7 linked regions of the Rattus norvegicus genome follow. Each later gene encodes a partner of the first gene's protein in a complex. Links are inferred from orthologs where the notes say so. Each region holds a gene or a part of one and is shown in the gene's direction. Other genes may lie near its edges. The genes, in order: Nup188, Nup107, Ranbp2, Nup98, Cetn3, Nup85 and Nup214.

Region 1 (3,500 bases):
GGTTGGTTGGTTGGTTTGGTTTTGGGTTTTTTGAGGTGGTTTCTCTGTGTAGCCCTGGCTGTCCTGGAACTCACTCTGTAGAGTGGGCTGGCCTCTGCCTCTTCCTCTCACGTGCTGGGATGAAAGACTTGTGCAGCTACTGCCTGGCTCCCAATTGCACTTGTTAAGTGGAAGATGCAGTTTTATTTATGGACTTTTTATGTTTACATAAGAATAATTGATTTATGAGAAACATTTTAGGTTTGGGATATTAAAGCATGAAAAAATACCAGCATGGGGGACCAGAGGCATCTCAACACGTGTTTTTATCCTAGACCCAGGTTTTGGGAGAATTTAACGAGTCCGCTGTTTGGAACTCTCTCTCCTCCTTCAGAGACATCTGAGGTGAGCTCTGTGGAGGGCAGGGCAGAGGCATTAAGGAAAGGACCCTGCCTCAGGTTACAGCAGCCCCATCTGCAGAGCAGTGCTTGCCTCCTGTCCTCTGGGAAACAGACGGACATGGCTGCTCTGTTGCTCTAGCAACTCCACACTGGACACGGCGCCCTGTCCAGTGGCCTCTGCCTTTCGCTTCCCAGGAAGCAGAGTTTAATGTTTTCTGAGCGTTAGGCCCTTTCTGGCACCAGGTGGGTGTGGAGGTTTGTTACATGTGATTGGTGTGTTTTCCCTCCCTCCACAGCCCAGCATCCTGGAAACCTGTGCCCTCATCATGAAGATAATATGTTTGGAGATCTACTATGTAGTTAAGTGAGTCCGTCCCCCTTCCGGGGGTGTTGTTGTTGTTGTTATTTAGTACTAGGGCTCAAACTCTGGGCATTTTCATGCTGAGCAAGTGCTTCACCAATGAGCCATGTCCCTAGCCCCCTCCCATGGGATTTTAACCAAAGATGGGGGGGTGGGAGATGGTGGGGACCTATCACAGAATGCGTGGTCGGTAAGCAGGGCACACAAGAGGATGGTCAGGCCCATTTATGGAGGGTCAGTGTCCTGACCAGGGCACTGGTGGCATTTATGCTGTCAGAAGAGTTGTGCAGTAGGTTTTGGGTTGCTGGGATTTGATGGAGTTAGAGGCTTTTCTGAAAAGGCCTCAGTTTCGCTCGTTCCTTGGGACCTGACCCTAGAGCTGGCTGCCATGTGCCCATCTCAGCTCCATGCACTTCTGAACCCTGACTCTGGTTTGTATGTTGTATAGGGGTTCATTGGACCAGTCATTAAAAGATACACTCAAGAAGTTTTCCAGTGAGAAACGCTTTGCCTACTGGTCGGGGTACGTCAAGTCTCTGGCAGTTTACATGGCTGAGACAGAGGGCAACAGCTGCACGTCCTTGCTAGAGTATCAGATGCTGGTGTCCGCCTGGAGGACGCTTCTCATCGTTGCTACCAGTCACGTAAGCCTCCCAGCCTCCTGGCTCTGCTTTAGTGGGAAGCGGTGATCTGCTGAGCTGCCTAGCTCGTGCAGCTCCTAGGATAGTAAACCAGAGTTCGTCCCTGAAATGCAGACACTGTACGCCAAGAGATGAGGATGGGCAGGCTTGGGGACAGGACACAGAAGCAGTTCCAAACCCGTCAGATAGCCTGAAGGATAGGTCTAGGGAGCACCTTTGCCCCTGGGGCTGTGCCTTCTGGATGCTGTAGATGTCTGTGATTCATCTGAGGCTGCAGCTGCGGTAGGCCCAGATCTCTTAGAGTGCTGTGTTTTTCCGTTGGTTCTAGGAAAAGGACGAAGGCCATTGTCTCTTCACTGTATAGTGAGTCTTAAAATTTTTTACTTATTATTAGTGTATGCACATGTGTGGAGGTCGGAAACAGATTTGGGGGTCAGTCCCACCTTTATGTGAACCCCGGCCATCAGGCTTATGCAGCAAGTGCCTTCCTTACCAGTGAGCATAGAGAGAAAGCTGGTGTTTGGGAAGAGTTTGCACCATTCTTGGCATCTTTCGGTTTGGCACTGTTTGTTTTGCTATAGCACGTGGTGTTGAACTGTTCTTCCTCAAGGCATCTGGACCTTATCTTACTTAATTACAATTGGACCTTGGCATGGGTCTCCTCATTCCAAAAACCTTGCCCATCTGTCTGACTTGTTCTCCAGCATGCAGTCTGCCTTTAGACCCCTGAGCCTGCAGACCACTGCAAGGCTTGCCTGTCTGATAGGGGAATGTCCATGTTGCTGCCTTTCGAATACAACAGTAGCCTGGGGCGGTGCACAGCCTTAATCCCAGTACTCGCTGTGCAGGCAGGTGAATCTCGAAAGTTCCAGGCTAGCCTGGTCTACAGAGTGAGTTCCAGGACAGCTAGAGCTACACAGTGAGCCCCTTCTCTAGGGGAAGAAAAGGAGTTCAAGCAAACAGCAGTTCTTAAGTTGTACCTCTGTTCTCTGCCTTCTGGAAACTGACCTGATGAACCTTAATTCCCTCCCTCCCTCCCTCCCTCCCTCCCTCCCTCCCTCCCTTCCTCCCTCCCTCCCTCCCTGCCATGACTACTAAAATATTTGTTCCATACCTGCAGGCACCAGAGATATTATAGCTGGACTTTGGCTGCTTCTCCTCCCCTTTTCTTCTACCCTTCCAACCCTGTAACACTAGATAGGAGAGAGGAAAGGATAGACAGGAAAGAGATCCCTGAATAAAAAGTCAGGGGTCAGACAGGAGGCAGCATTATCATTAGACTACTTCCTGCTGATTAGAGGCATACAAGTTCCTAGGGGCAAGTTTGATCTTTGCCGTAGAATATCTGATTTCTTCTTGTTGTTTCTTCTTTACACACGACTACCCAACAACCCACCTATGGGACTGTAGCATTTATATGCCCTCTGAAAAGTCCCCAGGATTCCCAGTGTCCCACACAACTGCAGAAACTATCTGCAGTTGTCAAACCTTAACCCTGCCAGACTACAAGGCAAATCGTAGTCAGGGGCTGTGGACTCTCTGAAGTACCCCCATATTCCACACCTGGGAGTAAAACAAAAGCACATTCTTAAACATTTCTGTTTGTTTAAAGAAATCAAAACTCCAGAACTATCGCTACAGGATAAGCAGTAGTAGGCAGGGAAGCCTGGTCACATGGTGAGGACAGCAGGAGAAAGATGGCCCACCTGCAGAATCAGCTAACTCTGCTCCTAGAGCCTCACAGAGACTCAGCTCCCTGCTTGGGATCTTTTTCCTGGTGCCTCAGTTGCCTTTCCAGTCTTGATAGGAGAGTTTCTAATTAGTCTTAAAGCAACTTGTTATGCTGTGCTAATTGATATGCCTGGGAGGGAGGCCTGCTCTTTTTTTAATGGAAATGGAGAAGAAGGGGGGAGGAGGACTCAGAGGAGTTGGGGGGAGGGGCTTTTGTTGTGACGTAATGTATGAAAGCATGGGGGGGAGGGGTGCTGAGCGATGGTGGTACATGCCTTTAATCCTGGCACTCCAGTGGCAGAGGCAGGTGGATCTTTGAGTTTGAGACCAGCCTAGTCTACAAAGTCAGTTACTGGACCACCAGGGCTACATAGAGACACTATATGT
Region 2 (4,227 bases), on another chromosome or scaffold:
GACTGCTCCATTAGGGACAAGGGTTTTAATGTGAGTGAGAGCGCAAAGATCCAGAGGCACCTGGAAGTGTCCAGAACAGAGAAAAGAGAAACAAACTGGACACAGCCAGGGCTGGGGAAGCCAGAGATAGGAAAAGTCTCATTAGCAGGAGATAGGAAGTAGCCTGGGGGTCAGCACAGAACACACCAGGACACCAAATTCTCAGCACAAAGGAAAAGGTGTTCCCTCCAGGTCTGCCAAAGAAAGCAGCAGGTTCCTCTGCAGGAGTGGTCTTTAAGGAGAAAAGACTCTGTTAGGGTGAGTTGGTAAGTCCTGAGTGGACACATTAGCCAGTTAGTGGATTTTGATAGTTGGACCTTGGAGTTTTAGTCAGGCATAAGGGGCCAAATAAGGGAAGAGACCTTGGTGGGTAGGTTTAGGAATGTAATCTAACGGTTTAGCAAGGGAGAGGCTATGGGAGAGGGTCACACCTGCTGGTGTTGTGTCTGCAATGCCTGGGCCTGTTAGAGCACTTCAAGATAGTTTTGTGATCGAGATGAGAGAACAGAACATAGAAATTAGTGCAGAGTCGGGATTGTGAGGTCAATAGCTAAGAAGACCAATGGAAAACGCGTTTCACAAAGTCCTGAGTAATGCTGGCTTTTATCTAACTGCCAGAAATCCTATGGTTCAGCTAGAGCTCATTTCTAGACATTTGGAGGGCCTGAGACCTAACACTCTGAGGTGCTGGAATGAGTAAGTATCCTCACCCCCAAAACTTTTAAAATTTAAAATAATAATAATAATAATAATAATAATAATAATAATAATAGTAATAGTCAGGCTTTCTTAGTGCAGGCTTGCTTCAAAATCATGGTGATCCTCCTGCCTCAACTTCCCCAAATGTTGGTATTACAGGCCGTGAACCCATGTGGTTTTTTTATGCTTTGCTCTTTTTGGATTTCTTTTAAAAAAACGGCTGATACTGTAAAAGAGAAATAAATTACAATAGGAAACAACCTCAAAACCCGTCCAGTGAGGCTACACCACAGTTTAGGGAAAGAGACGAGCGCCACGAGCCAGGCCAGATCCTGTAGAGTGGCGCAGAACCGCAAACCGGAACGCTGAGGCCAGACTCTTTACAACAAATTCCTCAGTCCAGGTTACAGATTTCCGGCTTCCCAGAAGGACGCCCCCACCCAGACCACGCCCACAACTCCCTCTCCTCACCACACTCAGACTCCGCCCTCGTTCCCGCCCCCTTCCTGCCTGGCAACACCGCCCAGCCACGCAGTCACGCACTGGCACACTTCCGCGCCTGCGCCACTGGACCTGCGACAGTAGACGAAAGTTGCGCATGCGCCGAATAAGAAAAATTCGTTCTTTGGGGCTGGCTTAGCCAGAGCGGTGCTTCCGGGTCGAAGGGTTTGCTTCCGGAGAGCGGGAAGGCTGAAACGCGGTGGCTGGACTGTAATCAAAGTTGCAAGGTTCTATCTAGGTGGAGACGGCTGCGGCCATGGACAGGTCAGTCCTGATGGGGACGCCTCGGCCAAGACTGTGGCTCTCGCCTGTTAGCGACCTAACTACCTCTGCTGGAAGCGGAGGAGGAGCCGAGGTCTGCCCATTCAGTCATTCCTTCACCCTGCCAGGATTTGGCCCCTGGTGGAGGGATGGGCGCTTGACGTGACTGGAGCGGGGACGCAGAGAATGCGTATCCCCGCGTTCCACCCCGCGCCTCCGGGGTCTCGTCGGCGCTCGCTCCTCGCCGTTCGCTCCGAAGTGTGCGGGGTCGGTGGTGGTCCGGCATTCGAAATGCTAAGTGAGCAGTCCGAGGTCACAGCCATCAGCCACTCTTGACAGCTCAGTCTCCAGATTTTCTGAGTGGTTTTATTGTGGTTATTATTTCGTATCAGTTGTACATTATTGGGTATCATGGTGGTCAGCCTAGACTTTTAAAGTGCCACCACCAGGTAGTTAAATTTCTTATGTGATCAGGTGATTTGTGCCCGCCTGAGACAAAGATGGGTTGTTCAAGGCACTTGGCATTGGAGAGTAGATCGTGTAGTGAAGACAGCCAAGCAATGTAATACGATGTATTATGCTGTACTGCGGGGAAAATAAATGAAGGAGACGTTAAATTCCCCCTGTCGTGGGAGTTTCAGGGAAACCTGTAAAGTAACTTGCTAGCTGGTCTTTGGAGTAATAATAGCATATTGACACTGAAAACATTGTGCTAGGGTTTAATCTTATGTGTGTTCCTTAAGCTTTAAGTAGCACATTTAGTTTTAAACAATCCCCTGAGGATTTTATCTATTCAGAACAGTGAGCCTGTAAGAGATTTAAGGAACTACATAGTTAAATAGAGCCAAGTTATGCGGCTAGGGATATAGTGTCATTCTTTTGTTAGAGAGCAGTAAGCCTGTGAGAGATTAAGGTACCAAGTTATGGGACTGGGAATACTGCTCAGTGGTGGCTCAGTGGTTAAGTGCTTGCATAGTAAGCCTTAGGTTCTGGGGAGAAAAAAAAAAAAGAGCAAAGAGCAAGAGAGAAACAGATTACCAGCTGGGAATGTTATATCTCCATAAAGCTGTTATTTAACTTAAGTAGATGTACATCAGGTGACAGGGGAACAAATATAGACCTCTGTAAAAGAAACATACTCAGATATAAAGTCATGAAAAATGTTCATGCTTGTGTGGCTGAATGCTCACAGCCGTATGTCTGGACGAACATCGTGGGCCAGGCTAAATTGGGATGGAATTGTAAATATTACACTGGAAAGTGTGAGTTTCAGTCTGTAAGGCAGAGGAAGCTAGCGGGAGATTTCAGGTGGAAGAAAGGTATACTAGAAAAAAAGCTACATGGTTTAGTTTTTTTTTTTTTTTTTTTCTTTTCTTTTTTTTCGGAGCTGGGGACCAAACCTAGGGCCTTGCACTTGCTAGGCAAGCGCTCTACCACTGAGCTAAATCCCCAACCCCCATGGTTTAGTTTTTTTTCTTTTTTTTTTTTTTCTTTTCTTTTTTTTCGGAGCTGGGACCAAACCTAGGGCCTTGCACTTGCTAGGCAAGCGCTCTACCACTGAGCTAAATCCCCAACCCCCATGGTTTAGTTTTTTTTTTTTTTTTTCTTTTTTTTTTCTTTTTTTTTTTTTCGGAGCTGGGACCAAACCTAGGGCCTTGCACTTGCTAGGCAAGCGCTCTACCACTGAGCTAAATCCCCAACCCCCACGGTTTAGTTTTTAAACCATCAGATGACAGTGTTGGAGACATCCTTAGTCTACATGGAAAAAAATTACTTGAAGGGTTCGTAGCTGAACACTGGGTGGGATTTTGGGGAATAAACAGGACTTAGAAACAAGAGGATATTGTTGGGAAAATATAGAAGACTTGCCTGTTGGGGTGAGCTGTCCTCTGACTGATTCAGATCCTTTGCTCTAACTGTAACGATAGTCCTTTGAAGATGCCATCTAAGAGATTATTTATACTATTGTAGGAGTGGCTTCGGGGGAATGTCATCCCCTGTGATCCGAGACCCAGAGGTTACGAGGACTGCACGGAAGCATAGTGCTCACAAAAGAGTTTTAAGTATCCTTCACGTAAGAATTATGCAGATTGCAGAGTGCCTGGGATCTTCCAGTCATTAAACATTATCTGTGACAAAACTGGCTCACCTCCACTGGTGTTTTACTTGCTACATCCATGCTCTCCGTGATCGTCCGTGAGTTCAAGATGCCTGTTTCTCTGAAAAGCATGTTCTGCTTCACTACCAGTATGTCCTAGTAGTCAACTAGAGTCAAAACTTATTATCTAACACCCACCTGAGAACTTAAATGATAGATGGATTTAACAACGGTGTACAGAAAAGGTGGTACCCATAAAATGCTTTGTTCTTGGAGAAATGTATTCATGTATATTGTGTAGTAAATCTGTGCTTAACTTTAACGACTTTTTTTTCTCTGCATGGAAAACTTTCCTTAATTCTTCCTAAGTTCAGGCCAACCAAGATGAAAATTTTGGTACTACTACACCAAGAAGCCAGATTATTCCTCGAACTCCAAGCTCATTTCGACAACCTTGTAAGATTTCATTTATGCTTTGAAAGTATTTAATAATAGTAGTCATAATTCCAGCTGGCATTTATACAATTTCCTAATAGAATATTTAGCTACAGTATGAGGAGTTAAGCATAAATAATAACAGTTCCAGTTATCCAAACGCTTATGAACAAGGAACTGTACTTTACATCAAC
Region 3 (3,500 bases), on another chromosome or scaffold:
TAACTCAAATTTCAAATCAAATGACGGTGACTTCACATTTTCATCACCACAGGTAGTGACACAGTCTCCTTCAACAGCTTACAGTAACAGTGAAAGTCTTTTAGGTCTCCTGACCTCAGATAAACCTTTACAAGGAGATGGCTATAGTGGACTAAAACCAATATCAGCTCAAACTGGTGGGTCTCGGAATACATTCAGTTTTGGAAGCAAAAGTACACTTACAGAAAACATGGGCCCAAATCAGCAGAAAAATTTTGGTTTTCGTCGAAGTGATGATATGTTTACTTTTCACGGTCCAGGAAAGTCCATATTTACAACACCTACTTCAGAACTGGCAAATAAAAGTCATGAAACAGATGGAGGAAGTGCTCATGGAGATGAAGAGGATGATGGTCCTCACTTTGAGCCTGTGGTACCTCTTCCTGACAAGATAGAAGTAAAAACGGGTGAGGAAGATGAAGAAGAATTCTTTTGCAATCGTGCAAAGTTGTTCCGTTTTGATGGTGAATCCAAAGAATGGAAGGAACGTGGGATAGGCAATGTAAAAATACTAAGGCACAAAACATCTGGTAAAATTCGCCTTCTGATGAGACGAGAGCAAGTATTAAAGATCTGTGCAAATCATTATATAAGCCCCGATATGAAACTGACACCAAATGCTGGCTCAGATAGATCTTTTGTATGGCATGCCCTTGATTATGCAGATGAATTGCCCAAACCAGAACAGCTTGCAATTAGATTCAAAACTCCTGAGGAAGCAGCACTATTTAAGTGTAAATTTGAAGAGGCCCAGAACATTTTAAAAGCCTTAGGAACAAATGCCTCTACAGCAGCAAATCATACTCTTAGAATTGTCAAAGAACCTGCAACTCAGGATAACAAGGACATTTGCAAATCTGATGGTGGAAACTTGAACTTTGAATTCCAGATTGTAAAGAAGGAAGGGCCTTTCTGGAATTGTAACAGCTGCTCGTTTAAGAATGCTGCAACTGCTACGAAATGTGTATCATGCCAAAATACAAAACCAACGAATGGCAAAGAGCTCCTAGGTTCACCATTAGTTGAAAATGGCTTTGCTTCTAAAACTGGCCCAGAAAATGTTCAAGATCGATTTGCATTGATGACTCCAAATAAAGAAGGTCACTGGGATTGCAGTGTTTGTTTAGTAAGAAACGAACCCACTGTATCTAGGTGCATTGCATGTCAGAACACAAAGTCTGCTAACAAAAATGGGTCTTCCTTTGCTCAAACTTCTTTCAAATTTGGCCAGGGAGATCTTTCTAAGTCTGCTGACAGTGACTTCAGGTCTGTGTTTTCTAAAAAAGAAGGTCAGTGGGATTGCAGTATATGCCTAGTCCGAAATGAAGCAAGCTCTACAAAATGTGTTGCTTGTCAGAACCCAGCAAAACAGGCTCCTGTCTCATCACCTGCTTCTTTTAAGGCTGGCACTTCAGATGTAAGTAAAACTTCAAAGAGTGGATTTGATGACATGTTTGCTAAGAAAGAAGGACAGTGGGATTGTAGTTTGTGCTCAGTGAGAAATGAAGCAAATGCTGTAAAGTGTGTTGCTTGTCAGAATCCAGTTAAACCCAGTTCATCTACCACTGTTACAGTACTTCCCTCTTTCAAGTTTGGTACCTCAGAGATGACTAAGCCTCCCAGGAGTGGATTTGAGGGCATGTTCGCCAAGAAGGAAGGACAATGGGATTGCAGCTTGTGTTTTGTCCGAAATGAAGCAAGTGCTTCTCAATGTATTGCTTGTCAGAATCCAAATAAGCAGAATCAGCCTACATCTGCTGTATCAGCTCCTGCCTCTTCAGAGACAAGCAAATCTCCAAAGTGTGGTTTTGAAGGCTTGTTTACCAGAAAGGAAGGCGAGTGGGAGTGTACTGTTTGTTCTGTACAAAATGAGAGCTCTTCCCTAAAATGTGTGTCTTGTGATGCCTCCAAGCCAACTCATAAGCCTATTGCAGAAGCTCCTTCAGCTTTCACAGTGGGCTCAAAGTCACAGTTAAATGAATCTGCAGGAAGTCAAGTGGGAACAGAATTCAAAAGTAACTTTCCAGAAAAGAATTTTAAAGTTGGCATATCAGAGCAGAAATTTAAATTTGGGCATGTGGATCAAGAAAAAACACCCTCCTTCACCTTTCAGGGTTCTTCTAATACAGAATTTAAGTCAATCAAGGATGGATTTAGTTTTTGCATTCCTGTATCTGCTGATGGGTTTAAGTTTGGCATTCAGGAGAAGGGAAATCAAGAGAAGAAGAGTGAGAAACATCTTGAAAATGATCCTGGTTTCCAAGCTCATGATACTAGTGGTCAGAAGAATGGTAGTGGTGTGGTCTTTGGTCAGACAAGCAGCACCTTCACCTTTGCAGATCTTGCAAAGTCAACTTCAAGAGAAGGATTTCAGTTTGGCAAGAAAGACCCTAATTTCAAGGGATTTTCAGGTGCAGGAGAAAAATTATTCTCATCACAAAGTGGCAAAGTGGCTGAGAAAGCAAATACTTCTGATCTTGAGAAAGATGACGATGCCTATAAGACCGAGGACAGCGATGACATCCATTTTGAACCAGTAGTGCAGATGCCGGAAAAAGTGGAACTTGTAACAGGGGAAGAAGATGAAAAAGTTTTGTATTCTCAAAGGGTGAAATTATTTAGATTTGATGCTGAGATAAGTCAGTGGAAAGAAAGAGGTTTGGGGAACTTAAAAATTCTCAAAAATGAAGTCAATGGTAAACTAAGAATGCTGATGCGAAGAGAACAAGTACTAAAAGTTTGTGCCAATCATTGGATAACCACTACGATGAACCTGAAGCCTCTCTCAGGGTCAGATAGAGCATGGATGTGGCTAGCCAGTGATTTCTCAGATGGCGATGCTAAACTGGAACAATTGGCTGCAAAGTTTAAAACGCCAGAACTAGCTGAAGAATTCAAGCAGAAATTTGAGGAGTGTCAAAGACTTCTCTTAGACATTCCACTTCAGACACCCCATAAACTTGTAGATACTGGCAGGGCTGCTAAATTAATACAAAGAGCTGAGGAAATGAAGAGCGGACTGAAAGATTTCAAAACATTTTTGACAAATGATCAAGCAAAAGTGACTGAGGAAGAGAACACAAGTTCAGGTGCAGATGCTTCCAGTGCCTCAGACACTACAGTCAAGCAAAACCCTGATAACACTGGGCCCGCCTTAGAATGGGATAACTATGACTTACGGGAAGACGCCTTGGATGACAGTGTCAGCAGCAGCTCAGTTCATGCTTCTCCATTGGCAAGCAGCCCTGTGCGGAAAAACCTCTTCCGCTTTGGTGAGTCAACTACAGGATTTAACTTCAGTTTTAAATCTGCTCTGAGTCCATCTAAGTCTCCTGCCAAGTTGAACCAGAGTGGAACTTCAGTTGGCACTGATGAAGAGTCTGATGTTACTCAAGAAGAAGAGAGAGATGGACAGTACTTTGAACCTGTTGTTCCCTTACCTGATCTAATTGAAGTATCCA
Region 4 (3,500 bases), on another chromosome or scaffold:
TCCCTTCCAGAGGAGACACTGCTCAGGAGATCTGCTCCCCTAGACTCCCCATTTCAGCCTCCCACTCCTCAAAATCCCGCTCCATAGGTACAGTATAAAATGTGCTGGTTCCAAGGACACTGTCAGCTCGATTCTGCTTTTCATATTTCTCCTTCTAAGCTGAATGGATTTCTTTAGCAGAACCTCTGAAAACTATAACAATAGGCATAATTTTTTTTTAAATACATACTATCCTCTTCCTACCATCTATGGCAGGGAGATTGCTGTGAATTTGAGGTTACCCAGAACAGCATAGCAGGACCCAAGGAGCTTGGCTCAACAGCTGAGAATACTTGTTCTTGCAGAAGACTCCAGTTTAGTTCTCAGAAACCATATGGTAGCTAATAACCCTCTCTTCTCCATTTTCAAGAGATCTGACACCCTCTTATGGCCTCCTGGCCACCAGGCACACACATGGTGTATATACATATACATACACTTAAGCACTCAGGCATACATACTAAATAATTTCTTAAAAAAGGGGGGTGGGGTCAGTGAATTAGCTTAGCTGATAAAAAGTACTTGCCATCAAGCCTGATGAACTGATGATCTCTAGAACCCACATGGTGGAAGGAGAGAAATTACTTCCTGAAGTTGTCCACTGACTTCCATGTATGCACACATGCACACACATTTTAAAACAGAAAAGGTAAAAGTGCTGACATGGCAGGGTTTTAAGCATCATAAGTACCTCTTTATTGGGAAACCACTTGTAAACCACCTCCCTAAAGTTGTCTCATTGAGTGAGAGCCCTGTTTTAGTCACTTGTGAGTGTGGATTACATAGTAAGCTCTAATCTAAACTCTACCACAATACTTAGATTCCACAAGTTGACCATGTTCCTTTTATTTAGTCCTTACATTATCTTACTGCTTTTTTTGATAGTAAACTTCAAGTATCTACTTTTCCCTAAACCTTTGAAAACCCCTGTGGGGTAATCACATATTAAATTTTAAAACTTTCCCTTTTCTTACTAGGATTGCAGATTATACTTTATAGAGTACTGGCTGGAGAGATGATGGCTCAGCAGTTAGGAGTATTGACTGCTCTCCAGTGAGTCTGGGTTCTCAACACCATCTGTGACTCCAGTCCATGATACACAGTGCCCTCTTCTGGCCTCCTCACATACTACATACACATGGTGCACGGGCATGCAGGCAGAAAAACTTTTTTTTTTTTTCTTGAAAAATGTCAAAAAAAAAAGGTTGTGGAGTATTGATATCAGTGAGTAGGCAATTGTAATTCAAAATACTTTGAAAGCTGAAGAACTAAATTTTGTTAATGTTTTCTGAAAAGGTAAATAAGGAACAGCAAGAAGGCTGAGCAGGTAAAGATACAAGTTTGATTCTTAGGACCCACCTTGTAAAGAGAGTGAACCACCTCCCTAAAGTTGTCCTCTTACCTCTCCTTAAGTTCATAATGTCAGGACTTCGGGGTTTTTTTTTGGGGGGGGGTTGTTTGTTTTTGTTTGTTTGTTTGTTTTTAAGATTTTATTCATTTATTATATATAAGTACATTGTAGTTGTCCTCAGACACACCAGAAGAGGGCATCAGATCCCATTACAGATGGTTGTGAGCCACCATGTGGTTGCTGGGATTTGAACTCAGGACCTCTGGAAGAGCAGTCAGTGCTCTTAACCGCTGAGCCACCTCTCCAGCCCAGGACTTCAGTTTTAATCTATCTGAGTTTTGTGGTTTTATTTTGTTCGGGTTTTTGTTTATTTTGGGGTTTTTGTGGTTGGGTTTTCAAAACAGGGTCTCTGTGTAGCCTGACCCCAGACTCACTGCCTGCCTCTTCCTCCAGAATGCTGAGATTAAAGACATGTGCCACCACCCCCAGCTGTTTTTGTATTTTACTTATATATAAGGCTATATTTGTGCAAATATAATATCCTCAAAATTTTTAGATTTATCTGTGTATTGATTTTTTTTCTCTGCATGCAAGTATGTAAGGCAGGTACATGCAGTGCCTATAAAAGTCAGAAAGTGTCAAATTTCTTGAAAGTAAAGTTGTGAGCCACCATGTGTGCACTGGGTATCAAATTCAGGTCCTCTGCAAGAGTAAGAAGTGCTTTTAACTGATGGGCTGCCTTCTCTCTAGCCGTTACAATGTCCTTTTAGCTCAGTCTCCATCCCCTATAGCTACTTACTTTACCCTTTCCTTTTTCTTGGTCCCCATACAAGTTTTCTTCTACTTTCATGTCATTAGTACATAAATAATATCAGGAAAGTGCAATATCTAAGACCCATAAATTAGAGAAAACATGCAATATTTGTATTTTTGGAACTGATCTAGTTCTCTGTAAATTGCTGTCTCCAGTTGCATCCATCATTTTAAAGATAGTTTTATTGCATATAGGATTTCAGTAAGGATATGACCCTTAGGAACAGTTTTACCCAGTCTCGTCACTTGATAGTGCCATGGACTTAGAAAGGCCCCCTTTTTAAGCCCAGTTTCCTCAGTTTTAATGTGAGCAGCAATAACACTTCCCGATCAATGTTACTGAAAAGTGAAGTGTACACATAATTGTCTTTAATATTGTTGTTAATCCTTGAAGATTCTTGTTTTTGTTTCTCCTTTATAAAATCATTAAAGTCCTTGCTTTGATTTCGTAGCTGAAAAGGTGATTATTGTGGACTGAAGAGATGGCTGAGTGGTAGGGAGCTTATACTGCTCTTAGAGAAAGCACAAGTTTGGTTCCTAGCACCCACATCAGGCAGCTTACACCCACCTGTAACTCCAGCTTCCAGAACGTGGGACACCTGGCATCCACAGGCAGCTACAGTCCTGTTGACATACCCACAAACATATACATAATTTAAAATTTTTATATAAATATTGTGGCACACACTTTTAATCCTGCACTCAGGAGGCAGAGTTCAAGGCCCACCTGGTCTACATGGTGAGTCCCAAGACAGCCAGGTTATACAGAATAATCTTATCTGGAAAAACAACTAGTGCACACCTTTGATCCTAGCACTCAGGAGGAATAATCTTGAGGCTAGCCTGGTCTTCATAGGACTTAGGCTACTTGTCTTCAAAGAAAAGTGATTATTATAAAAATCTGTCTGAAAATTTTCATCTTTAGCGAAGAAGCAAACTGGGTTGTTAAGTGTCTTTTCCTCCTTGTTTCAGTTGGTGGGTTGCTCCAATCAAAATTTGCAAGTGGAACTTTTCTTTCACCAAGTGCCTCCGTGCAAGAATGTCGCACACCCAGAACATCATCTCTAATGAACGTCCCATCCACATCCCCCTGGTCTGTCCCTCTACCCCTGGCCACTGTGTTCACAGTGCCCAGCCCAGCCCCTGAAGTTCCCCTAAAAACAGTGGGGATACGCAGGCAACCAGGCCTAGTCCCTCTTGAAAAATCCATTACATATGGCAAGGGAAAACTCTTGATGGACATGGCCTTATTCATGGGACGTTCATTTCGGGTTGGCTGGGGTCCCAACTGGACTCT
Region 5 (4,300 bases), on another chromosome or scaffold:
TGGGTAAAAGTCCTGTACTCGTCAGAATTAGACATTGTGATTAGACTCTGTTCCCTCTCATGACCCATTTTAACATTATATCTCAAGGTGTGGATTCTAATTTGACTCGTAGACATCTTTTCCCCTATTAGGTACCATATTTATGGTTTCAGGATACCAAGATGTAGCCTTAGCTATTATTCTACCTATCATACCACTATGATCTATGTACAGCCTCCAGAACAGTCACTTATGAATCACTGGTAATTGTACAATGTTTAACTTAACTTCATATCTGTGCACTAAATAGTTAACATTAAATATTTAAGAAATAAAAGTACTTAATTTTATATTTTAGGCAGAGTCTCACTACTAGTCCTGGCTGGCCTGGAATTCACAATGTAAAGAACTCAGAGATCCGATTGTATGTCTATTGGGTGCTGGGATTAAAAGTATGTAGCACCACGCCCAGCAAGTTCTTCATTTCTCTACTTTGGTTTTGGGAATGCTACCATTTAGCTATTACTTTTTAGTTCTATCCCAACTCTCTAGTCAAATTTCTATCTACACTCCAGGCTTAACTCATACACAGCCAATTACCCAGTGTCCTTCCTTCACATACAAATTTAGATATAGTATTTCCCTTTTCTAACACCTAGCCCCAGTTTATTGTATTTATGCCTATAAGAACTGCTTGGTTAGCTCAGGAGTTTCCAAGTTTTCCACAATAAGACTTCGTTTTACGCATCAAGTATTTATGGAACACCTAAGTTCCAGATATTTCATTTGGTACAAATATTCGTGTAAACGGAATTGTGGCCTTGAGGACAGTCGGTCTAGCAGCTTGGTGATCGAAGTAAGCTTCAAGAGGCTTGGTGGGGAGTGGAGATAGAATGCACACACAAGGTTTACAGCACTAGAAAGTGAAGAGCAGAAGCAAACAAATACATTGCAAGTCGCACAGAAGAAAAGGATGGTTTAGGTAGTCTCACTGTACATGACCTAACAAAACAACAAAATGAAAAGACTAATCCAGTCTGCCTTAAAATCACTTGGGAAAGCTGTACGGGGAAGAATGCTTAGCTTGGTCGTTACTGAACTAAGATTGGAGAACATCACCTTTAGATTTAAGTTTCTCGGGTGTACCAGCCACCCAGAATTGTACATCTTTTTGTAGACCTGGTTCCTCAATCACTGCTCCGTCTGAGCAGGCTGCTTGTGCCGTGCCTTCTTCCCCTTCCTTCGGTCGACGCTGTGCACGCGTGCTCGGAACTCCAGCACCATGTCACCCGTAGAGCCTAGCCTTGCCTGCCTGAACCCCGCGTGGTGACTTAACAGGCGCGCAAAGGATTCAGGAAAGCATCTGGCCAATCCAAGGGGTCAGACAGACAGCAGGGCGAAATGTGTACTTGACTGACATGAATGCTGACCAATGGAAACAGAAGACAATCGACGCTTCCGCCCCAATGGGCCGGCTGTTGGCAATTTCGGCCAATCGCACCCAGAAACTTCTGTCAGGTGGGTGGTCCCCGAGGCCGTGGAGGTTGGTGGCTGTTGAGCGGTTCTCGTGGTAAAGTCCTTGAGCGGAACACCTCTGTCGGAAGAGAAAATGAGTTTAGCTCTGAGGTCGGTAACGAGGAGGCCGCGCCTCCGTTCCCCAGAGGGGCCAGGGAGGGCGTGGAAGGGAGGCCGAGTCGGGAGCGGACGAGGAGTGCCGAGCATCAGACCTCGGCGGTCCCCGCCTCCCACAGCGCCGCTCCCCGAGTGAAGTCTCGCGAGGTTTCCCTCACGCATCTGCGGGTTTCGGGCCTGGCCGCCTGCTTCCTCCGGAAAGTCACAGGAGAGCTCGCCTTTCTGCCCGGGTCCCGTGGCACGCTGTGCTTTGGGCGTCCTGGGTGGATCTCGTTTCCGTGACACCCTCCAGTCACTTCCGGACATCCCCCCTCCCCATTGGCTCCTCACCCTGTCCATCTACACTTAAAGGCGCCCCCGGACCGCGCATTAGCCTGGGGTGGGTGTGTGGCGAGTGTGTGTGTGTGTGTGTGTGTGTGTGTGTCCGCGCATTAGCCTGGGGTGGGTGTGTGGCGAGTGTGTGTGTGTGTGTGTGTGTGTGTGTGACCGCGCATTAGCCTGGGGTGGGTGTGTGGCGAGTGTGTGTGTGTGTGTGTGTGTCCGCGCATTAGCCTGGGGTGGGTGTGTGGCGAGTGTGTGTGTGTGTGTGTGTGTCCGCGCATTAGCCTGGGGTGGGTGTGTGGCGAGTGTGTGTGTGTGTGTGTGTGTGTGTGTGTGTGACCGCGCATTAGCCTGGGGGTGTGTGTGTGTGTGTGTGTGTGTGTGTGAGCTGGGGTCACGTGAGAAAGATTCCTGGCTGCCACCGTCACCCGCTCAGCACTGATCTCCCACGTCTGGTCCACCCGGAGGGCGTTCCTGACGAGACGCTGTTACAGTCAGCCGAGTTTTAAGATTTTGAGGTTTTAAAGCTTCCATCTTTTAAAACGTGCTGATACACGTGTTGTGTCGTATCCTCGTTTAAACATTTGGACTGCTTTTTGCATTGGCAGCTCTTAAGGCAGACATTTTCAGATCCAAGTGCCCTTTTTAGATTTCCTTTAAACTTCAGAGTTTTTAAATGAAGACGTCTAACCTATCGTTTACATGTTAAGTGAGAGTTAAAACACTTTTAAACATCACGTCGTGGACTTAAGCACGAGTATTAGATGCTGCGATTCTGGGCGCCTAGTATTTGCATGTTTAGGCCCTTTAATAGTTTGCCTGGCTAATATCAGTGGAATAAAACCACAAAGCACTGTTAGAAATGTATAATCTAAAAACATTTTGGACTTAGAATGCTAAAGTAATCTTTTAAGTTTTATGGATGATTTTTGTAGTAATTGTGAGTTGGTTGTCATTTGTGAATTTCACTTTTGTATGTTTTTTTTTTTTGGTTATTTTTATGTTCTTGGTAGATGACAGGAATAATATGTATGATGCTTTCAACTTTGATTAGGATTTCGGTTATAAAAGTACATTTGGACTACAGGACGTTAACTTAGGCTCAGTTTCTTTATGTGCCAGACTACTCTGTTGAAATTTAGAAAATGATTCTTTGTCCTAAGTTGGGTTAAAGTAGACTAAAGGCATTTTTCTGTGTCCTAGAGGTGAGCTTGTAGTAGACAAAACAAAAAGGAAAAAACGAAGAGAACTCTCTGAAGAACAGAAGCAAGAAATTAAAGATGCTTTTGAACTGTTTGATACCGACAAAGACCAAGCCATAGATTATCATGAATTAAAGGTAACAGGGTATTTAAGATCCATTTTTGTTTAACTCAATTGCGTTTGTGCCTGTTGCTTTAAAGTCTACTTTAGAAGCTTGTTTCAGAACTGTGAGGCTGTTTGTAGTGCCCACCCACAGGTGCTACAAGAAAACGGAGTAAAAATGGAGTATGGCTTCTAGAACCTTGTATTTAAGTGTAAGAGTGCATCTTGATGGGAAGTCTAACTTTTCCATTCACCCAGTAAAGGGACAGTTCTTAGCATGTTCTTCCTACAGTTGTTTTCTTCTGTGTGATGATATAGCTCAGATTTTTAACAAAACAAAATTTTTTGGCATATGCATGTGCCCCTGCTGGCCTGTACATCCCCTTGTGTATCATGTGGTGGGCAGAATAGGGCCTGTGTATCTTCCATCACTCTACTCCACTGCCTTGAGACAGGCTATTTCCCTGAGTTGGAAGTTCAGCACTTGAGAGTGAACTCTGGGGATCGCTGCTGTCTCCACAACTATGCCTGTCTTTACATGAGTGATGGGGATTTGAACTCTGGTCCTCAAGATTTTAGGGCGAGAACTCTTACTGACAGTTTTGAAATGGAGAGATCATTGACTTTGCTCAGACATTTGAGATTGACTTTTAATTTTTAAGATAATACTAGCACACTCTTAGAGTACACTCTTCTCTGTTACAAAGGATATAAATTGTCTGATGCCTAATGTTGCTACGTGCAGAAGGAAAATGTCCTACCCAAGGCTTTAATTACTAGTAAAGAGGGAAGGGGAAATTGGTTATGAACACATTTCTCACGTTCAGCCTAGTAAGAAGGATCACATTTTGATCTCTTTAAGTACCCTTAAAAGTTCATTTAGTAGTTTTAACATTATAGGGGTAGAATCTATGTAGCGAGATGATAGACTATTTAAAAGTAATAATAGACTTTGAAGCTTTGGCCTCAGTCTTGAGGTCCTCCTTTAGCTCATTCCCTAACCCACTGTTCTCTTGCTGCTGCTCCCCTCCTCCACATAGCATGAGTTCTTCCTGTCCAGTGT
Region 6 (3,500 bases), on another chromosome or scaffold:
CGAGGAATCAGAATTTGTTTTGCTTCCTTTGAGCGCCCAGCTGCTGAGCCACGTCACTGGGCCTGACCTCCAGGCTAGGATTTGTTTTCCTTTCCTATTTATTTATTCACTTATTTCTTCGGTGTGTCCTTTGCTTGAGCTCCGTAAGTAGATGAAGGTGAAGCTGGGTCTCCTCGAACACCCGGGGTGTGCTCTGCTGACTCAGCCTGTGTGTGTACAAATCTGTGTGTGCTCTGCTGATTCAGCCTGTGTGTGTACAAATCCGTTGTATTCTTGAGTTTCTGGTCCTCTTGCCTCCACTTCTCAAGCTTGGGATCATGGACACGGCTGCCAGGTGTGCTTTCATCAGTGCTTGGGAGCATTGCACTCCGGGCTCTGTGGGGCAGGCATTCGCAGTTGTGGAGGAGCAATGGAGAGCTGCATGCTGCCTTACTGCCTGTGGTTTGCTGGGTCTGCTCTCTTTTTTTGGGGGTGGGGGGGCTGGGGACCGAACCCAGGGCCTTGCGCTTGCTAGGCAAGTGCTCTATCACTGAGATAAATCCCCAACCCCTGGGTTTGCTTTCTTACAGCATCCAGGACCCCCAGCTAGGGGTGGCCCCCCCCATATCGATTACCAACTGAGAAAATATGCCACAGGCCTGACTACAACAGCAGTGCTTTCAGCCTGAGCCGTCCATGCAGACCAGGCGTGGTTTATGTTTAACTGTGTGTGTGTGTGTACACATTGTGCAGGTACCTGTAGAAGCCAGGAGATGGCATTGGATCTCTTGGAACCAAAGTAGTTGTGAGCCACCTGATATGGGTGCTGAGAACTGAACTCTGGCCCTTTCCAACAGTACTACGCTCTCTTAAAATCATTGTGACAGATCTCTAGCCGTTTGTGTGTGTGTGTGTGTGTGTGTGTGTGTGTGTGTGTGTGTGTGTGAGTTTATATATACTGGAGCACTTCACATCTCCTGAAACTGGAGTTGCAGGTTCATGTGAGTCACCTGATGTGGGGATTGGGAACCAAATCTGGTTGTTCCTGCAAGAACAGTCCAGCCGTCTCCTTTTGATTCTTCTCTTTCTAGCATCAAGATATGGTCGATGTCATCTCCTATGTCATTTCATTTTTTTGTAGATTGGTTCGAGTGAGTAAAAATTACCGGTCAGTTATACGTGCCTGTATGGAAGAAATGCACCAGGTTGCAAGTAAGGACCCTGTGTATAACTGAAGTACATTGTCTGGTGCTGTTTGCTCCAGTGGCCTTTCAGGAGGCTGCTCTGCAGTGTGTAACAGGGCCTCGTTTTGATATGTGATAGATGCATCAGTGATCACATGGAAATGGGGGTGGTGGTGGAAGAAACAGCAGGAGTCATGAGAGGTCTGAGGGCAGAGGAGGCGGGATACAGTCAGTTCAGTTGATTGACCTAAGGTGTTTTGTATTCTGCTAGTTGCTGCTAAAGACCCAGCCAGTGGCCGGCAGTTCAGCAGTCAGGTAAGAGGTAGCTGTTCTCATTGTATTGGCAACATTGTGGTTTTTGTGTCCCTAGTGCCTAGGGTGGCTTTGTGGTCACTGTTACAGGAGGCTCTCCTTTCGAGGTGGACCAGCAGCTCTTTGGGATGGCAAGTGTGGCTTTAAAAGTTGGTCTTCCCGTCAAGGTCTAGCCCGTGGGAACACAGGATCTACTTGATAAATACTGGGTTTTCATTTCCTGTGGAAAGATGAGTCCTAACACGTGGTGTTTGTGAGTTGTCATGTGAGATGGAGAACCGAGCTTTTAGGACTGCCGCTCAGTCTCATGAACTCGACATTTTGCTGAGCAGCAAGTGGTTATAATTGAGCAGGGCTAGAAGTTGACATATATGACACTCTTTCCTTAGTAGGATCCCAGTGCTTTTCTAACTAATGATCAGGGGACAATACACTGTCTCTGATAGGCACAGTGTGTTTTTCCCTTCGAGCAAGGGCTGGTGATGACTGAACTGAAGGAGGGTGACGTGGGGATGTCCATCTTCCTAAAGGCAGGGTCCAGGTCTCCTTTATCTTAGTGGGAGCATCTTATAGCAGCCAGCCTTTGCTCTTTCAGTTTTTGCAGTGCCTGGTCTTGGCTCTAGTATCGTAGGTGTGCTAAGTATGTCCACTGTTGCTGGGCTAGAACCTCAGTCGATGTCTCCTGTTAAAAACATATCTGTATTGCGTGTGTGTTTATTGAGTGTGTGTGTGCACAAGTGCACCTGTGCATGCAGAAGTGCACCTGTGGAGGCAGAAGACGGTGCTGAATGTCTGCTCTCACTCTGCTCATTCTCTTTGAACCTGGGGGTTGTGCTTCTTGCCTAGGCTGGACGCCAGCAAGCTTGGGGACCCTCCTTTCTCTGTTCCCTTTGTAACTCAGGCCTCAGTGTGCTCAGGTCTCCAGCTTGTTACACGTGTGCTGCCACCCAAACTCTGCTTCTCATGTCTGCACAGCAGATTCTCTTTTTTTTTTTTTTATGAACTTGAGTATTTCTTATATACATTTCAAGTGTTATTCCCTTTCCCGGTTACCGGGCAAACATCCCCCTCCCCTCCAGATTCTCTTAACTACAGAGCCATCTCCTGCTGTCTGTTGTTGTTGAGACAGGGTCTCAGTCTGTAGCCCAAGCTGGCTGTGGTCTTGTGTTATCTTTCTACTGTAGAAGCTTGAATGCTGGCTTTACAGTATAAGCTACCACACCTGGCCCTGGTCTCTGCTTTTGTTTTTCTTTTTCTTTCTTTCTTTTTTTTTTTTTTTTTTGGTTCTTTTTTTCGGAGCTGGGGACCGAACCCAGGGCCTTGCGCTTCCTAGGCAAGTGCTCTGCCACTGAGACAAATCCCCAACCCCTTGTTTTTCTTTTTTAAATTTAACTTTTCTTTTGTGTGTAGAGGTATTTTGCCTGCATGTCTGTGCATTGTGTTGTGCTGTTCTTGCAGAGGTCAGAAGCAGGTATCATGGAACTGGAGTAACAGATAGTTGTTGGAAATCAAACCAAGGCCTTTTGCCAGAGCAGCCAGGGCAGCCAGTGCTCTTCACTGCTGAGATCTTCTTTAGCATCTGGCGCAGCCTTTAATAGCCTCTTTCCTAAGTTTCAGTCCTTGGCATATGGACTAACTGACTGACTGACTGGCCTATCTACCTAAAGTCCTGATCCCCTCCATTCCGAGTGCTGGGATTACAGGCCAGACAGGCATGGAGCCCTTGGTGCTCCTGTCTAGGTCTCCTGGGTGCCAGGTTTAAGGTGTGTGGGCCACTGTCCTGGTTCTAACTTCCCAATTTTGTTTTACTTTTCTTATTGACAGACTTTCTCAAAATTACCTTTTCTTTTTACTCAAATGAGGCGCCTTCTTAACCCACAATCCATCAAGAGCATCCGTGTGATATGCTAGTTTACTTTTCTAATTCACCTTAAAATAAAATCACCAGTGTTAGCATTCTGCAGGTTTTTATCTCCCTATCTGACATCTTCTGCTGGGCTGCCTGGTGGGAACTCCTGCTGTAGG
Region 7 (3,500 bases), about 1.7 Mb from region 1:
CTATAGGTAAAATGGAGTCTGAATTTAAAATGGCAGTTCTTAAGACAAGTTCTTTTATCTATACCCAACAGGTATATGTTTACATAGATGAAAATGTGTTTCAGGTTGACTTGATTAAAGGATTATGACTGTGCCTATTACACTCTGTTTTCTGCTTTGTGTTTTTTGCTTTCATAGTTGACACAATCCAAGGCTTGAATGTCCCTATGAAATTCCCAGTTCATCACCTGGCACTGAGCTGTGATAACCTTACACTCTCTGCGTGCATGATGTCCAGTGAATATGGCTCCATTATAGCCTTTTTTGATGTTCGCACATTTTCAAATCAGGTAGGCTACTGTAAACTGTATTTTCAACATGGAAGCAGGAATTCCCTCATGGGCATTGCAACTTGGAAGGTGTATAAATCGATGACATGGCTGCTCCATGCTGTGGTGAGGGGGAATGTCGTTATTGTAGATATAAGACAGCAAACTCTCAGAGGAATTTGGCAGCGTCCAGAGCAGAGAGAGAGCGCAGTAGACTGATGATGGCCATCAGAGTGGATGTGGCCAGGATCTGTGGAAGAGGAGACCAGCAGGAACTGGAGAACAGAGACAACACAGTGAGGCGAGGTGGGGAGCCTGGCAAGAGTAGCAGGCTGCAGTGAGAATGAGTAGCTGGGGAGGGACCCTGGGGAGCTGGAGGGGATAGAGTAAGGAAGGAGCATGGACTCTGATGGGTACTTGTGATACAGAAGGAGCCTGGAGGCCAGCATGAGCGTTGAGATGCTAATAGACTATGTCCCTTCAGATGAAGGGACATGACTCCTTTTGGGAGATGGGAACTAGTTTACAAGTTCCCAAGGGAGGCTGTCCTTTATCTAACCACCAGCAGTCCTTCTCTAGTCCAGGTTGAGCTCATTCTGGATAGAGGAGACAGTCTTTTGGAGTTTGGAATTGGAGTTTCCTTTGGACCAAAAAGCTGTATTTCAGGTTAATGTGTGAAACCTTTCTGGATTAAAATAGAGGTTACGGGGTTGGGGATTTAGCTCAGTGGTAGAGCGCTTGCCTAGCAAGCGCAAGGCCCTGGGTTCGGTCCCCAGCTCCGAAAAAAACAAAAAAACAAAAAAAAAATAGAGGTTACAAAAATACTCCTTGAATATAGACTCATAAGTTTTTGAGATAGAACTATTTATTTTAGTAAATTAAAATTTTTCCTGTACAAAGTTAACATGCCTCATTTACACACAAGGCTATCAAGTGATGAGGCTTCTTAGAGATTTGCTTTGTGAGAAGCCATGGAGCTAATGGTGAGAGGGTCGAGGGTCTGCCCATGTGATGTAGGATCTCCTGATGTTGGATTCTTTGGTCCAGGCAGGTTGTTCAGTAGCAGTGTAGAACGATGGTCTTCTTGGGATTAGGTATTTTATGATGTGTTTTTTTCCCATGTTTTCCATAGTAGAGACAGTTGTCTTCATTTTACAGATGGAAAGGCAGATTTCAAAGAGATCTACATGGACAAGCATGCTGGCACACACTGATGGCCTCTAGGTTGAAGCAGGAAAGCAGTGAGCTTGAGGCTAGGCCAGGCCATGTAAACCAGAACCTGCTTCAAAAAACAAAACAGGGGTTGGAGAGATGGCTCAATGGTTAAGAGCACTGACTGCTCTTCCAGAGGTCCTGAGTTCAGTTCCCAGCAACACATGGTGGCTCACAACCATCTGTAATAGGACTTGATGCCCTCTTCTGGTGTGTCTGAAGACAGCTACAGTGTACTCACATACATTAAATAAATAATATATATTAAAAAAACAGAACAAATAAAACATCTCACCAAAGACCAAGACAGAAATCAAAAAGCCTAGCTAAGGTTATTAAGAAGCAGATCCGGGGTTGGGGATTTGGCTCAGTGGTAGAGCGCTTACCTAGGAAGCGCAAGGCCCTGGGTTTGGTCCCCAGCTCCAAAGAAAAAGAACCAAAAAAAAAAAAAAGAAGCAGATCCAAGAATTTAGTGTTCTACCTGCTATTTATTGACTCTTGCATTTGCATATCCCTGCCAGCAGTCCCTCTGTGCTGGAGTACTTGGTGGCCATTTCTAAGTTTCATTGATTGTTTGTAACAAATAGATCGCTATACAGAGTTGGTTATGAAGAAATAAAGAGCTGGATTTAAGAAAGAATGCGTACTCCATCATTCCCTCTGAATCCTAAATGCCTTTGTGTTTATTAATTTATTAATTTATTTAGCATCTGGGCTCTTATTTTAACAGGCTAAACCACTGAAACGCCCATTTACCTATCACAAGCTTTCAAACGGTGCCAGCGGGATGGTGAATGATATGAAGTGGAACCCCACTGTCCCTTCCATGGCAGCAGTTTGTCTGGCTGATGGCAGCATTTCTGTCTTGCAAGTTACGGATGTGGTGAAAGTGTGCGCCACACTTCCTCCTTCATCGGGAGTCACGTGTGGTGAGTAAGAAGCAGCTCTCCAGCCATAAAGTACAGGCTATTAAAAATTAACTTCTGCATGTAAAGTGGAAGGCTTTGAATTTTGTGTGGACCGCTGGGGGGTGGAGAGTGGGTAGAAATTGAGAATATTCTTTATTTCTATAGTCAGTGGTCTTGAAGCCCCACAGCATGCGTGAGTTCATTTGATGTGTCTGGGCTATCGAGATAAAGAAGTATTTTGGCACAGCTCATTTAAGACTGAGAATAATTGTTTCTGAGTCTAAAAGAGCGGCCATCTGAAAGTCATTTGTACCTCCATAAAGCACTAGAAGTAATGAATAGAAACAACACAGTGATTCCTTGATCTTTTAAAGACACCCACTCTCCTTGTCTTACAAAAGTCTGCTGGAGAAGCATTCTTAGCTCTCAGTTAGCGGCCTGCTGGGAAGTCCTGATTTGCTTGTATTGTTAAAGTGGTTGTACTTTCTCCACTGTGCCTGGGGATCTCTCATGGCCTTTCCTGGTGGTGATCGTATAGCCGTCTAGACCTTAGGGCTTGCTTTCTTTTCTTGGGTGTTTTAATTGGCAGCATTTCCTCCCCAGTATGCTGGAGCCCCAAAGGAAAGCAGCTGGCCGTGGGAAAGCAGAATGGAACTGTGGTCCAGTATCTTCCTGTGAGTGACTGCTCTGCACGGGAACTTCCCATTTAACCACTGTTGAGGGTGGTTGGGGACATCTCGGTGGCTTCCTTTCTTTTGTGGTATTAATGAGCAGTTTAGGAATATTTGTGTTAGAGTGCTTGCCTGGCATGTGTGAGGCCTTGTGTCCAATCCTTAGCACTACAAAATAAATAAAAAGTAATTTATCTTCATTATACTGACTCTGTAAATGGAGAAGATTGACTCTGATCTATCCCTCATTATGTCCTTCCAGTGATGCCACAGTTGTGAGTGGCTCCATCTCCTCCCTTTCATGGATCTCATCCAGTTCACCCATTGGACGCGCATTGTTTCTGTTTTCCTTTAAAGTGAAATGTGGCCTACGCTAGGTACTATTCCTTCACTTCACAATC

What was found.
Region 2: Nup188 (region 1) and Nup107 share a complex: the UniProt entries of both Homo sapiens proteins name them as parts of the nuclear pore complex. The link is inferred for Rattus norvegicus from reciprocal best matches to the Homo sapiens genes NUP188 and NUP107.
Region 3: Nup188 (region 1) and Ranbp2 share a complex: the UniProt entries of both Homo sapiens proteins name them as parts of the nuclear pore complex. The link is inferred for Rattus norvegicus from reciprocal best matches to the Homo sapiens genes NUP188 and RANBP2.
Region 4: Nup188 (region 1) and Nup98 share a complex: the UniProt entries of both Homo sapiens proteins name them as parts of the nuclear pore complex. The link is inferred for Rattus norvegicus from reciprocal best matches to the Homo sapiens genes NUP188 and NUP98.
Region 5: Nup188 (region 1) and Cetn3 share a complex: the UniProt entries of both Homo sapiens proteins name them as parts of the nuclear pore complex. The link is inferred for Rattus norvegicus from reciprocal best matches to the Homo sapiens genes NUP188 and CETN3.
Region 6: Nup188 (region 1) and Nup85 share a complex: the UniProt entries of both Homo sapiens proteins name them as parts of the nuclear pore complex. The link is inferred for Rattus norvegicus from reciprocal best matches to the Homo sapiens genes NUP188 and NUP85.
Region 7: Nup188 (region 1) and Nup214 share a complex: the UniProt entries of both Homo sapiens proteins name them as parts of the nuclear pore complex. The link is inferred for Rattus norvegicus from reciprocal best matches to the Homo sapiens genes NUP188 and NUP214.

The regions. Positions count from the first base shown.
Region 1 is NC_086021.1:34,002,812-34,006,311, forward strand, and holds part of Nup188 (nucleoporin NUP188 homolog), read left to right. Parts: intron 1-314; coding exon 315-384; intron 385-676; coding exon 677-744; intron 745-1,189; coding exon 1,190-1,385; intron 1,386-3,500. UniProt on the Homo sapiens protein: Component of the nuclear pore complex (NPC), a complex required for the trafficking across the nuclear envelope. Required for proper protein transport into the nucleus.
Region 2 is NC_086025.1:55,281,410-55,285,636, reverse strand, and holds the start of Nup107 (nuclear pore complex protein Nup107), read left to right. Parts: upstream 1-1,427; 5' UTR 1,428-1,495; coding exon 1,496-1,503; intron 1,504-3,471; coding exon 3,472-3,563; intron 3,564-3,967; coding exon 3,968-4,054; coding exon of another isoform or gene 4,055-4,079; intron 4,080-4,227. UniProt on the Homo sapiens protein: Plays a role in the nuclear pore complex (NPC) assembly and/or maintenance. Required for the assembly of peripheral proteins into the NPC. May anchor NUP62 to the NPC. Involved in nephrogenesis.
Region 3 is NC_086038.1:27,016,314-27,019,813, forward strand, and holds part of Ranbp2 (E3 SUMO-protein ligase RanBP2), read left to right. Parts: coding exon 1-3,500. UniProt on the Homo sapiens protein: E3 SUMO-protein ligase which facilitates SUMO1 and SUMO2 conjugation by UBE2I. Involved in transport factor (Ran-GTP, karyopherin)-mediated protein import via the F-G repeat-containing domain which acts as a docking site for substrates.
Region 4 is NC_086019.1:165,930,367-165,933,866, reverse strand, and holds part of Nup98 (nuclear pore complex protein Nup98-Nup96 proprotein), read left to right. Parts: coding exon 1-87; intron 88-3,175; coding exon 3,176-3,500. UniProt on the Homo sapiens protein: Plays a role in the nuclear pore complex (NPC) assembly and/or maintenance. NUP98 and NUP96 are involved in the bidirectional transport across the NPC. May anchor NUP153 and TPR to the NPC.
Region 5 is NC_086020.1:13,823,591-13,827,890, forward strand, and holds the start of Cetn3 (centrin-3), read left to right. Parts: upstream 1-1,500; 5' UTR 1,501-1,588; coding exon 1,589-1,605; intron 1,606-3,135; coding exon 3,136-3,271; intron 3,272-4,300. UniProt on the Homo sapiens protein: Plays a fundamental role in microtubule-organizing center structure and function. As a component of the TREX-2 complex, involved in the export of mRNAs to the cytoplasm through the nuclear pores.
Region 6 is NC_086028.1:101,308,435-101,311,934, forward strand, and holds part of Nup85 (nuclear pore complex protein Nup85), read left to right. Parts: intron 1-1,120; coding exon 1,121-1,191; intron 1,192-1,434; coding exon 1,435-1,478; intron 1,479-3,500. UniProt on the Homo sapiens protein: Essential component of the nuclear pore complex (NPC) that seems to be required for NPC assembly and maintenance. As part of the NPC Nup107-160 subcomplex plays a role in RNA export and in tethering NUP96/Nup98 and NUP153 to the nucleus.
Region 7 is NC_086021.1:35,655,879-35,659,378, forward strand, and holds part of Nup214 (nuclear pore complex protein Nup214), read left to right. Parts: intron 1-177; coding exon 178-329; intron 330-2,250; coding exon 2,251-2,449; intron 2,450-3,031; coding exon 3,032-3,102; intron 3,103-3,500. UniProt on the Homo sapiens protein: Part of the nuclear pore complex. Has a critical role in nucleocytoplasmic transport.